2 linked regions of the Callithrix jacchus genome follow. The protein of the gene in region 1 interacts with the protein of each later gene in a biochemical or structural test. Links are inferred from orthologs where the notes say so. Each region holds a gene or a part of one and is shown in the gene's direction. Other genes may lie near its edges. The genes, in order: NHLRC1 and EPM2A.

The links.
Region 2: the proteins of NHLRC1 (region 1) and EPM2A form a complex in vitro, tested with the Homo sapiens proteins (3 studies listed by BioGRID, with this or other methods). The link is inferred for Callithrix jacchus from reciprocal best matches to the Homo sapiens genes NHLRC1 and EPM2A.

Annotation. Positions count from the first base shown.
Region 1 is NC_133505.1:12,710,481-12,714,949, forward strand, and holds NHLRC1 (E3 ubiquitin-protein ligase NHLRC1), read left to right. Parts: upstream 1-1,530; 5' UTR 1,531-1,607; coding exon 1,608-2,795; 3' UTR 2,796-3,738; downstream 3,739-4,469. UniProt on the Homo sapiens protein: E3 ubiquitin-protein ligase. Together with the phosphatase EPM2A/laforin, appears to be involved in the clearance of toxic polyglucosan and protein aggregates via multiple pathways.
Region 2 is NC_133505.1:152,513,193-152,517,626, reverse strand, and holds the start of EPM2A (laforin), read left to right. Parts: upstream 1-1,592; 5' UTR 1,593-1,633; coding exon 1,634-1,934; intron 1,935-4,434. UniProt on the Homo sapiens protein: Plays an important role in preventing glycogen hyperphosphorylation and the formation of insoluble aggregates, via its activity as glycogen phosphatase, and by promoting the ubiquitination of proteins involved in glycogen metabolism via its interaction with the E3 ubiquitin ligase NHLRC1/malin.

The DNA of each region.
Region 1 (4,469 bases):
CAGACACTTTACAAAAGAAGGCAGACACTTTACAATATGAGGCCAACAAACTTATGAAAAAATGCTCAACATCACTCATCATTAGAGAAATGCAAATCAAAACTACATTGAGATACCATCTCACGCCAGTTAGAATGGTGATCATTAAAAAAACCTAGACACAACAGATGCTGGAAAGGATGTGGAGAAATAGGAACACTTTTACACTGTTGGTGGGAGTGTAAATTAGTTCAACCATTGTGGAAGACAGTGTGGTGATTCCTCAAGGACCTAGAAATAGAAATTTCATTTGACCCAGCAATCCCATTACCGGGTATATATCCAAAGGATTATAAATCATTCTACTGTAAGGACACATGCACATGAGTGTTCATTGCAGCACAGTTTACAATAGCAAAGACCTGGAACCAACCCAAATGCCCATCGATGATAGACTGGAGAGGGAAAATGTGGCACATATACACCATGGAGTACTATGCAGCCATAAAAAATGATAAGTTCATGTCCTTTGTAGGGACATGGATGAACCTGGAAACCATCATTCTCAGCAAACTGACACATGAACAGAAAATAAAACACAGCATGTTCTCACTCATAGGCGGGTGTCGAATAATGAGAACACATGGACACAGGGAGGGGAGCATCACACATTGAGGACTGTTGGCAGGGGCTAAGGGAGGGACAGGGGGCTGTGGGTGGTTGGGAGAAATAGCATGGGGAGAAACGCCAGATATAGGTGATGGGGAGGAAGGCAGCAAATCACACTGCCACGTGTGTACCTATGCAACAATCTTGCATGTTCTTCACATGTACCCCAAAACCTAAAACACAATAAAATATATATATATTCTTTATATATAAACTTCTTTATATATATATGTTCTATGGTAATTATTATTAACTAACAGCTTTCTTATTTCATATTAATTACTCTGCAAGACACTCCGAGCCATGGTTCCCCCATCTGACACTCATTCACCTAGTGGATGTTTTTGCTCTATAACATTCCTTCATTAATGCACAAATTCATTCTACAAGTGTGTATTCATTTAACATTGACTTAACGAGTGTGATAGAAGACACAAAAGAAAATATGCACATCTGCCTTACCTCCCTTGGAGCTTATCTTCTCTCGTGTGTCGGTGTTTTCCGGTTCAGATCATAAGCATGACGAGCTAAGGGACCATGTTTTATGCCCGGACAGCCCCAGCACCCAGCGCTGCAGATTGGAGACACTGCTAGGCACCCGGGTGGGAAGCCTGGGTTCTAGTTCTTGTTCTGCCGCCTCCAGACGGAGTAACAGGGAGCAATCCGGTTGTCCTCAGTAGATGTGTTTCCTCATCTGAAAGTGTACCCAATCCATCCATGACTGCTGTGACGATTACAGGTCTTAACGCGCATGTGGATTTGTCTTGCAAACGTCCACGACCAGGCCCCCGGGAAACAGTGCCGCGCGTGGCCACCAAGGGGCAGCAGATCGCAGTGCAGAGGCCCGCGGCGCTCGACGTCAGGGCGCACGCCCGACCCCGTGACCGTGACTGTGACCGTGACCGAGGGCGTCGCTGGGGCACAGCCGGGCGGCGCCGCGGGAGTGCGCAGGACCCGCCATGGGGGCCGAAGCCTCGGGGAGCCGGCCGGAGCTGCAGGAGCTCATGCGCGAGGCGGAGATCAGCCTGCTCGAGTGCAAGGTGTGCTTTGAGAGGTTTGGCCACCGGCAGCAGCGGCGCCCGCGCAACCTGTCCTGCGGCCACGTGGTCTGCCTGGCCTGCGTGGCCGCCCTGGCGCACCCGCGCACGCTGGCCCTCGAGTGCCCATTCTGCAGGCGAGCCTGCCGGGGCTGCGACACCAGCGACTGCTTGCCGGTGCTGCACCTCATAGAGCTCCTGGGCTCGGCGCTTCGCCAGTCCCCTGCCGCCCACCGCGCCGCCCCCAGCGCCCCCGGAGCCCTCACCTGCCACCACGCCTTCGGTGGCTGGGGGACTCTGGTCAACCCTACCGGACTGGCGCTTTGTCCCAAGACGGGGCGGGTCGTGGTGGTGCACGACGGCAAGAGGCGTGTCAAGATTTTTGACTCCGGGGGAGGATGCGCGCATCAGTTTGGAGAGAAGGGGGACGCTGCCCAAGACATTAGGTACCCTGTGGATGTCACCGTCACCAACGACTGCCATGTGGTTGTCACTGACGCGGGAGATCGCTCCATCAAAGTGTTTGATTTTTTTGGCCAGATCAAGCTTGTCATTGGAGGCCAATTCTCCTTACCATGGGGTGTGGAGACCACCCCTCAGAATGGGATTGTGGTAACTGATGCGGAGGTAGGGTCCCTGCACCTTCTGGATGTCGACTTCCCCGAAGGGGTCCTTCGGAGAACTGAAAGGTTGCAAGCTCATCTGTGCAATCCCCGTGGGGTGGCAGTGTCTTGGCTCACCGGGGCCATTGCAGTCCTGGAGCACCCCCTGGCCCTGGGGAGTGGGGTCTGCAGCACCAGGGTGAAAGTGTTTAGCTCAAGTATGCAGCTCGTTAGCCAGGTGGATACCTTTGGGCTGAGCCTCTACTTTCCCTCCAAAATAACTGCCTCAGCTGTAACCTTTGATCACCAGGGAAATGTGATTGTTGCAGATACATCTGGTCCAGCTGTCCTTTGCTTAGGAAAACCTGAGGAGTTTCCAGTACCAAAGCCCATGGTCACTCATGGTCTTTCTCATCCTGTGGCTCTTACCTTCACCAAGGAGAATTCTCTTCTTGTGCTGGACACAGCATCTCACTCTATAAAAGTCTACAAAGTTGACTGGGGGTGATGGGCTGGGTGGGGCCTTGGAATCAAAAGCACTAGTGCTGCCATTAATGAATTGTTTAACCCTGGAAAAGTCACTTAAACTCATCTATCCAAAGAGGGATAATTAAAACTGTCTGGCAGACTTACAAAGCTGGAGACAATTATTAGAGATTAAGCTACCATTTATTGAATGGATACTCTGTGCAAGGAAATTTGCAAATATTAGTTTATTTAATCCATGCTACCCAGTGAGGTAATTTTTTTTTTTTTTTTTCTGAGATAGAGTTAAGCTCTGTCACCCAGGTTGGAGGGCAGTAACATGATCACGGCTCACTACAGTTTCAACTTCCCTGGGTCAGGTGATCCTTCCACCTCAGGCTTCCAAGTAGCTGAGACCAAAGGCGTGCACTACCACACCCAGCCAATTTTTGTATTTTAGTAAAGGTGGGGTTTTACCCTGTTGCCCAGGCTGGTCTCAAACTCCTGAGCTCAGGCAATCCACCTTCCTCGGTCTCCCAAAGTACTAAGAGTACAGGCATAGCCACCTTGCACAGCCATAATTTTTATTAGTAATCTCCTTGTACAAGTGAGAAAACTGAGACCCAGAGAGCTTACGTGACTTCCCCAGGCCACAGTTACTTACTACAGTAGTCACAATTTGAATTCAATTCTGACTTCAAATAAATTGCCCTTAAATAAGATAACAGATGCGGGGAAAATGCGTAAATGTATAGTGTTGCTATATGTACTCTCTTTACAAGTAGCTAATTATTCTATCACGAGGATGTGCAAAGAGAGAGACTTTACGGAGAGTTCAGGAGAAAAAGGATTTTGTGGTGGGCATCACTTTCATTCCGCTTGCAAGTGCTCTGATGGCACATTAGATGAAGTTACTATTGATCCTGAGATACATGAATAAGAAAAACAATCGAACTACTTATTAAAAAGATAAACATGTCTTTTAATGCCTATATCTTCTCTACTATACAAACTCAGAAAATACCACTTGGTTGTTTGAGAAAGGCCTATTTTTGTTGTTGTTGTTGTTGTTGTTGTTTGTGTTGGTGGTGGTGGTGATGTGTGTGTGTGTGTGTGGGTGAGACAGAGTCTTTCTCTGTCGCCCAGGCTGGTGTGCAGTGGTGCGATCTTGGCTCACTGCAACCTTTACCTCTTGGGTTCAAGCAATTCTCTGCCTCAGCCTCCTGAGTAGCTGGGATTACAGGCACCTGTCACCATGCCCAGCTTAATTTTTTTTTTTTTTTTTTGTATTTTTAGTAGAAACAACGTTCACCATTTTGGCCAGCCTGGTCTTGAACTCCTGACCTCATGATCCACACACATTGGCCTCCCAAACTGCTGGGATTACCGGCATGAGCCACAGCACCCAGCCTAGGCCTATATTATTGCAGAACACTCTACATACTAGTGTCATATGTCCCTGTTACCTGTTTATGTTACACGTTTATGGGTTGTTTGTTTCTAGACATGGTCTTGCTCTGTCACCTGGAGTACAGTGATCACTGCTCACTACAGCCTTGACTCCCTGGGCTCAAATGATCCTCCTGCCTCAGCATCCCGAGTAGCTGGGACTACAGGTGTCTGTCACCATGCCCAGCTAATTTTTAAATTTTTCGTAGGGATGGGATCTTGCTTTATTGTCCAAACTAGTTTCAAGCTCCTGGGCTCAAACAATCCT
Region 2 (4,434 bases), about 140 Mb from region 1:
AACGGGCAGAACTCACTCTGGAAGAGCTGGTGGGAATAATGCCATTTGGGAGGCACACAACATAGGCAGCACAGTGGAGCAAAAGCAAGTCTGGAGCTGTCAGCTCCCGGGTCCTGAGGAATAAAAACTTTCACTGGAGTCTGGATTCCACTGCAGACACAATCCTCTCTGCATCGCCAAATGACTCTCACTTTTCTAAACTTACTCTAAGAATATCTTGTAACAGCAATTTGCATAAACCGACTCACATGCCACTGTGATTTAATAATGTCTGATTTGCTACTCAATCAGTTGTGTTTGGCCAGCCTTTCTGTCTTCACATTGTTCACAGTGTTTATCCTTAAGCTTAGCAACCAATCAAACTTTGAGTGGAATGTCAATATGCAAGAGTGAACTGTATTGTAAGTTTTCTAGGTGTTCCACAAGAGATTGTGTTTGTGTAGTTTACATTTTTTTCACTTTCTGTTTTACTTATGATATTCTCAACGCATAAAACTTTGGCCTTTCCCCCCCCCACCCCTTGCTATTCACAAAATTCCAAATACTGGTAAAAATGCCTGTGTCTTTAATTCACATCACGGATTCATGTTGTTAAATGTTAGCGAATACATAAACATAAGAATACAAGGATAACTTTATTAAAGAATATAAAACTATCAGGACATTTGTCTGATGGCAGCGACAAATTGAAGTTCCCCGACCAAGATATATAGTATTTTAGGTTTTGGCCAGACAACTAAAAAAATCTCTGTTTCTTGACCCAAAAAGGTTTTAAGCTGAAAGACTAGTGCTGGCTTATTGAAAGTAAATTTTAAACAAAGGGCTTTAAAAAAATAATTACTCCATTAAAAAATGCATACATTTACAGTCACAGAATTAGTTTTTGTTTTGACCTTCAAAAGTACTTGAAAGTATTTACTCCAAACTTACTTTACACATACTAAAAATATAATACTTTTTGAAAAAAGAAGGTGATCGTGTGGCTTTTCAGACAGGGGAATGGTATGTAATGTTTTGCATCAGCTCTGGGTTGTTGCAACCATTGGGTTGTCTCCACCAATCAGATATCCATTAGAGCCGGTAGGATTTGAAAAGATTATTTTATACCCTCATTTTACAGATAAAGAACCTGAGACCCATGAGAAAAGTGACTTGGTTAAGGCGTGGAGCGCTCCAGAGACCGGTCCAAGATCTTCCCCCGTTTCACAATTAGGAGGCTGCTGTCTGGAGGCCATTTCTTTCCTCATGATCCTCGTAAAGTTAATTTCCAGTCTCTTGGAAAGAGGACTGGACGACTGCCTGGCTTAGAAGATTTCCTCCCTTCCCGAACCCCGTTTTCTCTTCCTTTTCTTCCGCTAGCCGCTTCCCCAGCGCCCGCAAGTGGAAATCAGCCGCCCGCGGGGCTGCGGTGCACAAAGAGGCGGCTGGCGGACCCCTTCCCGCCGGCCCGGACGCAGCCTGGGCTCGGGGGCCGCGTGATGCAGCCCAAAGAAGGCGCAGAACAGCACGTGTTCCCGGCTGTGCCCGGGCCTCCCGCGCCGCCGCCCAATCGCCGTGGCCGCCTCGCGCTCAGGCAGCGCCTGCCGGCCGCTGAAACTCGGGGCCCGGGGATTCGCGTCGCAGGCCGCCCGCCATGCGCTTCCGCTTCGGGGTGGTGGTGCCGCCCGCCGTGGCTGGCGCCCGGCCAGAGCTGCTGGTCGTGGGGTCGCGGCCCGAGCTGGGGCGCTGGGAGCCGGGAGGGGCCGTGCTCATGAGACCCGCGGGCACCGCGGCGGGCGCCGGGTCGCGGGCGCTGCAGGAGCCGGGCCTTTGGATTGGGGAGGTGGAGCTGGTGGCCGAGGAGGCGGCGCAGGACGGGGCGGAGCCGGGACGCGTGGACACGTTCTGGTACAAGTTCCTGAAGCGGGAGCCGGGAGGAGAGCTCTCCTGGGAAGGTACTGGCAATGTGCGCCGGCCCCGGGCCCCGGGCACGGAGCGGGAGCTCGGCCTCGGCCTCGGGCGGGCCCCGCAGGCCCCCGCGGCGCGCGTCCCGGGCTCCTTGCCCGCGTCCCTGGGCACTCGCCGAGCGCCCCGGGCTGACCCTGCTCTGCGGGCTACGGTGTCGCCGCCAGCCGCGCCTCCGGCTTCCTACTGGTTCCCTAGACCCGTACAGCGCTCCCGCCCGCCTTCCCGCCCCCTTGGTTGCTCGCCTCTCTGACCTGGTTTCCGCACACCCAGTCCACAGTTTCTTTCCAACCGCGCCTGCGTCAGGGGCCGGTGCCCTTCGTCTCCCGCCCGGGGCCCCTTAGCCCTCCGAGTCCTCCTTGCGCGGGTCCCTGGGCTGCCCGGCCGCGCGCCGCCGAACGGCTTCGCTGCCCAACTCCGCCTTAGTTGGTTTCTGTGTCCTCATTTTCCTGTCCTAGTTCACTAAAAAAACGATCCAACCAGCGAAACTAGCATTTTCGCTAATCCTAGACTGCAACGTGTTACTTACTGTATAGATTTTTTTTTCTTATTTTGAGAATGAACTAATGGAAAGACGTTGAATATTGGATTTTTTTCTTTTTTAATCCCAGGTATATGACAATTGAGACTTGACCTGACTTCTTAAAATACTAAAACAATACATGCTGGTTGTAGAATAATAATAATGATGATAAAGAAATATACATAGTGAAAACTTAGTGTTTCCTGCACGCATCTTAAGTACACTGCCTGTATACATTTATGTATGTGATACATGCATATACTTTTTTTTTTTTAACAAAAATTATATCTCATTCTGAATTTTTTCTTTTCTTGCGGAACAATATGTTGGGGACATCTTTATTTTACATGTAGATATATATTTTAAATGGTAACATATTATTCTGCATCTACCAATGTGCATTTAGGTTCTTTTCAGTTTTCTGTTATAGACAGTAGTAGCTTAATTGAAATTCCTTTTGCAGGTTATCTTTGAACATTTGGGAATGTTTCTGCAGAGTAGATTCAAAGAAGTGAAATTATTAGGTCAAAATGTAGTCTTTTTTTTTTTTTTTAATACTTCAATAAGGACTGCTAAATTATGCCCTGAAAAGGTGATACTAATATCGGTTCCCACCAACAATGTCTGAATTGAGGCAGCCCATTTCTTTAAAGGAAATGTGCAAGGTTGAAGACTGGAGTGGGTGTGACTCAGTAGTTGAAGTCAACGAAATGAGTGTCTCTTGAGATGTTGATATGTAAAAAATGGACCATTTAGCTTGTAATAATGTAGAAATAATCTGTAAAGAAGATTTGGCTGAAATATATTTATATATTATCCTTGTTCTCTTTTTGTACCCCACTGGGCTTTTAGTCTGGTAGCATTTATTCTTCAGTTTATCCTTCCTTTAAAGGGGCTTACTATTATTCATAGTAAGAGGTTGTCCAGAGCGGTGGGGCCTTGGACCCATGAATCCCCTTTTCTCTCCAGGTCTGTGGTGAGAGGGGCTGCTATGGAGGTCTCTGAAATGTCTTCCAGGCCTTTTCTCCATTGTCTTGGCTATTAACATACAACTCCTGTTTACTTATGCAAATTTTTACAGCCAGCTTGAGTTCCTCCTTGAAAATGGATTTTTCTTTTCTACCACATGGCAAAGCTGCACATTTTCCAAGCTTTTATGCTCTGCTTCCCTTTTAAGTATGTCTCTTTGCTCATAGATTTGAGCATATGCTGTTAGAAGCAGCCAGAGCACATCTCGAATGCTTTGCTGCTTAGAAATTTCTTCCACCAGATACCCTAAATCATCTTTCTCAAGTTAGATTTCCACAGATTTCTAGAGCAGGGCTGCAATGTTGCCAGTCTCTGTGCTAAAGCATAATATGAGTGACGTTTACTCTAGTTCCCAATAAGTTCTTCATCTCTGTCTGAGACCGCCTCAGCCATATCATTGTCAGCATTTTGGTCACAAATATTCACAAGTCGCTAGGAGGTTCCAAACTTTCCTTCATCTGCCTGTCTTCCTTTGAGTCCTCCAAACTGTCCCATCCTCTCCCTAACACCTGATTCCAAAGCTGCTTCCACTTTTTCAGGTATCTTTATAGCAATGCACCTCTTCCCAGTTCGAATTTTCTGTATTAGTTGCTCTTGCATTACTATAAAGAATGGCCTAAGACTGAGTAATTTATAAAGAGGTTTAATTGAGTCACGGTTCTCCAGGCTATATAGGAAACATGGCTTGGGAGGCCCCAGGAAACTTACAAACATGGCAGAAGGCAAAGGGGAAGCAGTCACTTCCTACATGGTTGGAGCAGGGGGAAGAGAGAGAGAAGGAGGAAGTGCTACACACTTTTAAACAACCAGCTCTCATAAGAACTCTCACAAAAACAGTAAGGAGGAAGTCCACCCCCATGATTCACTCACCTCTCACCAGGCTCCCCTTCCAACACTGGGGACACAAATCCAAACCATATCACTGGGAAAGTGCTTTA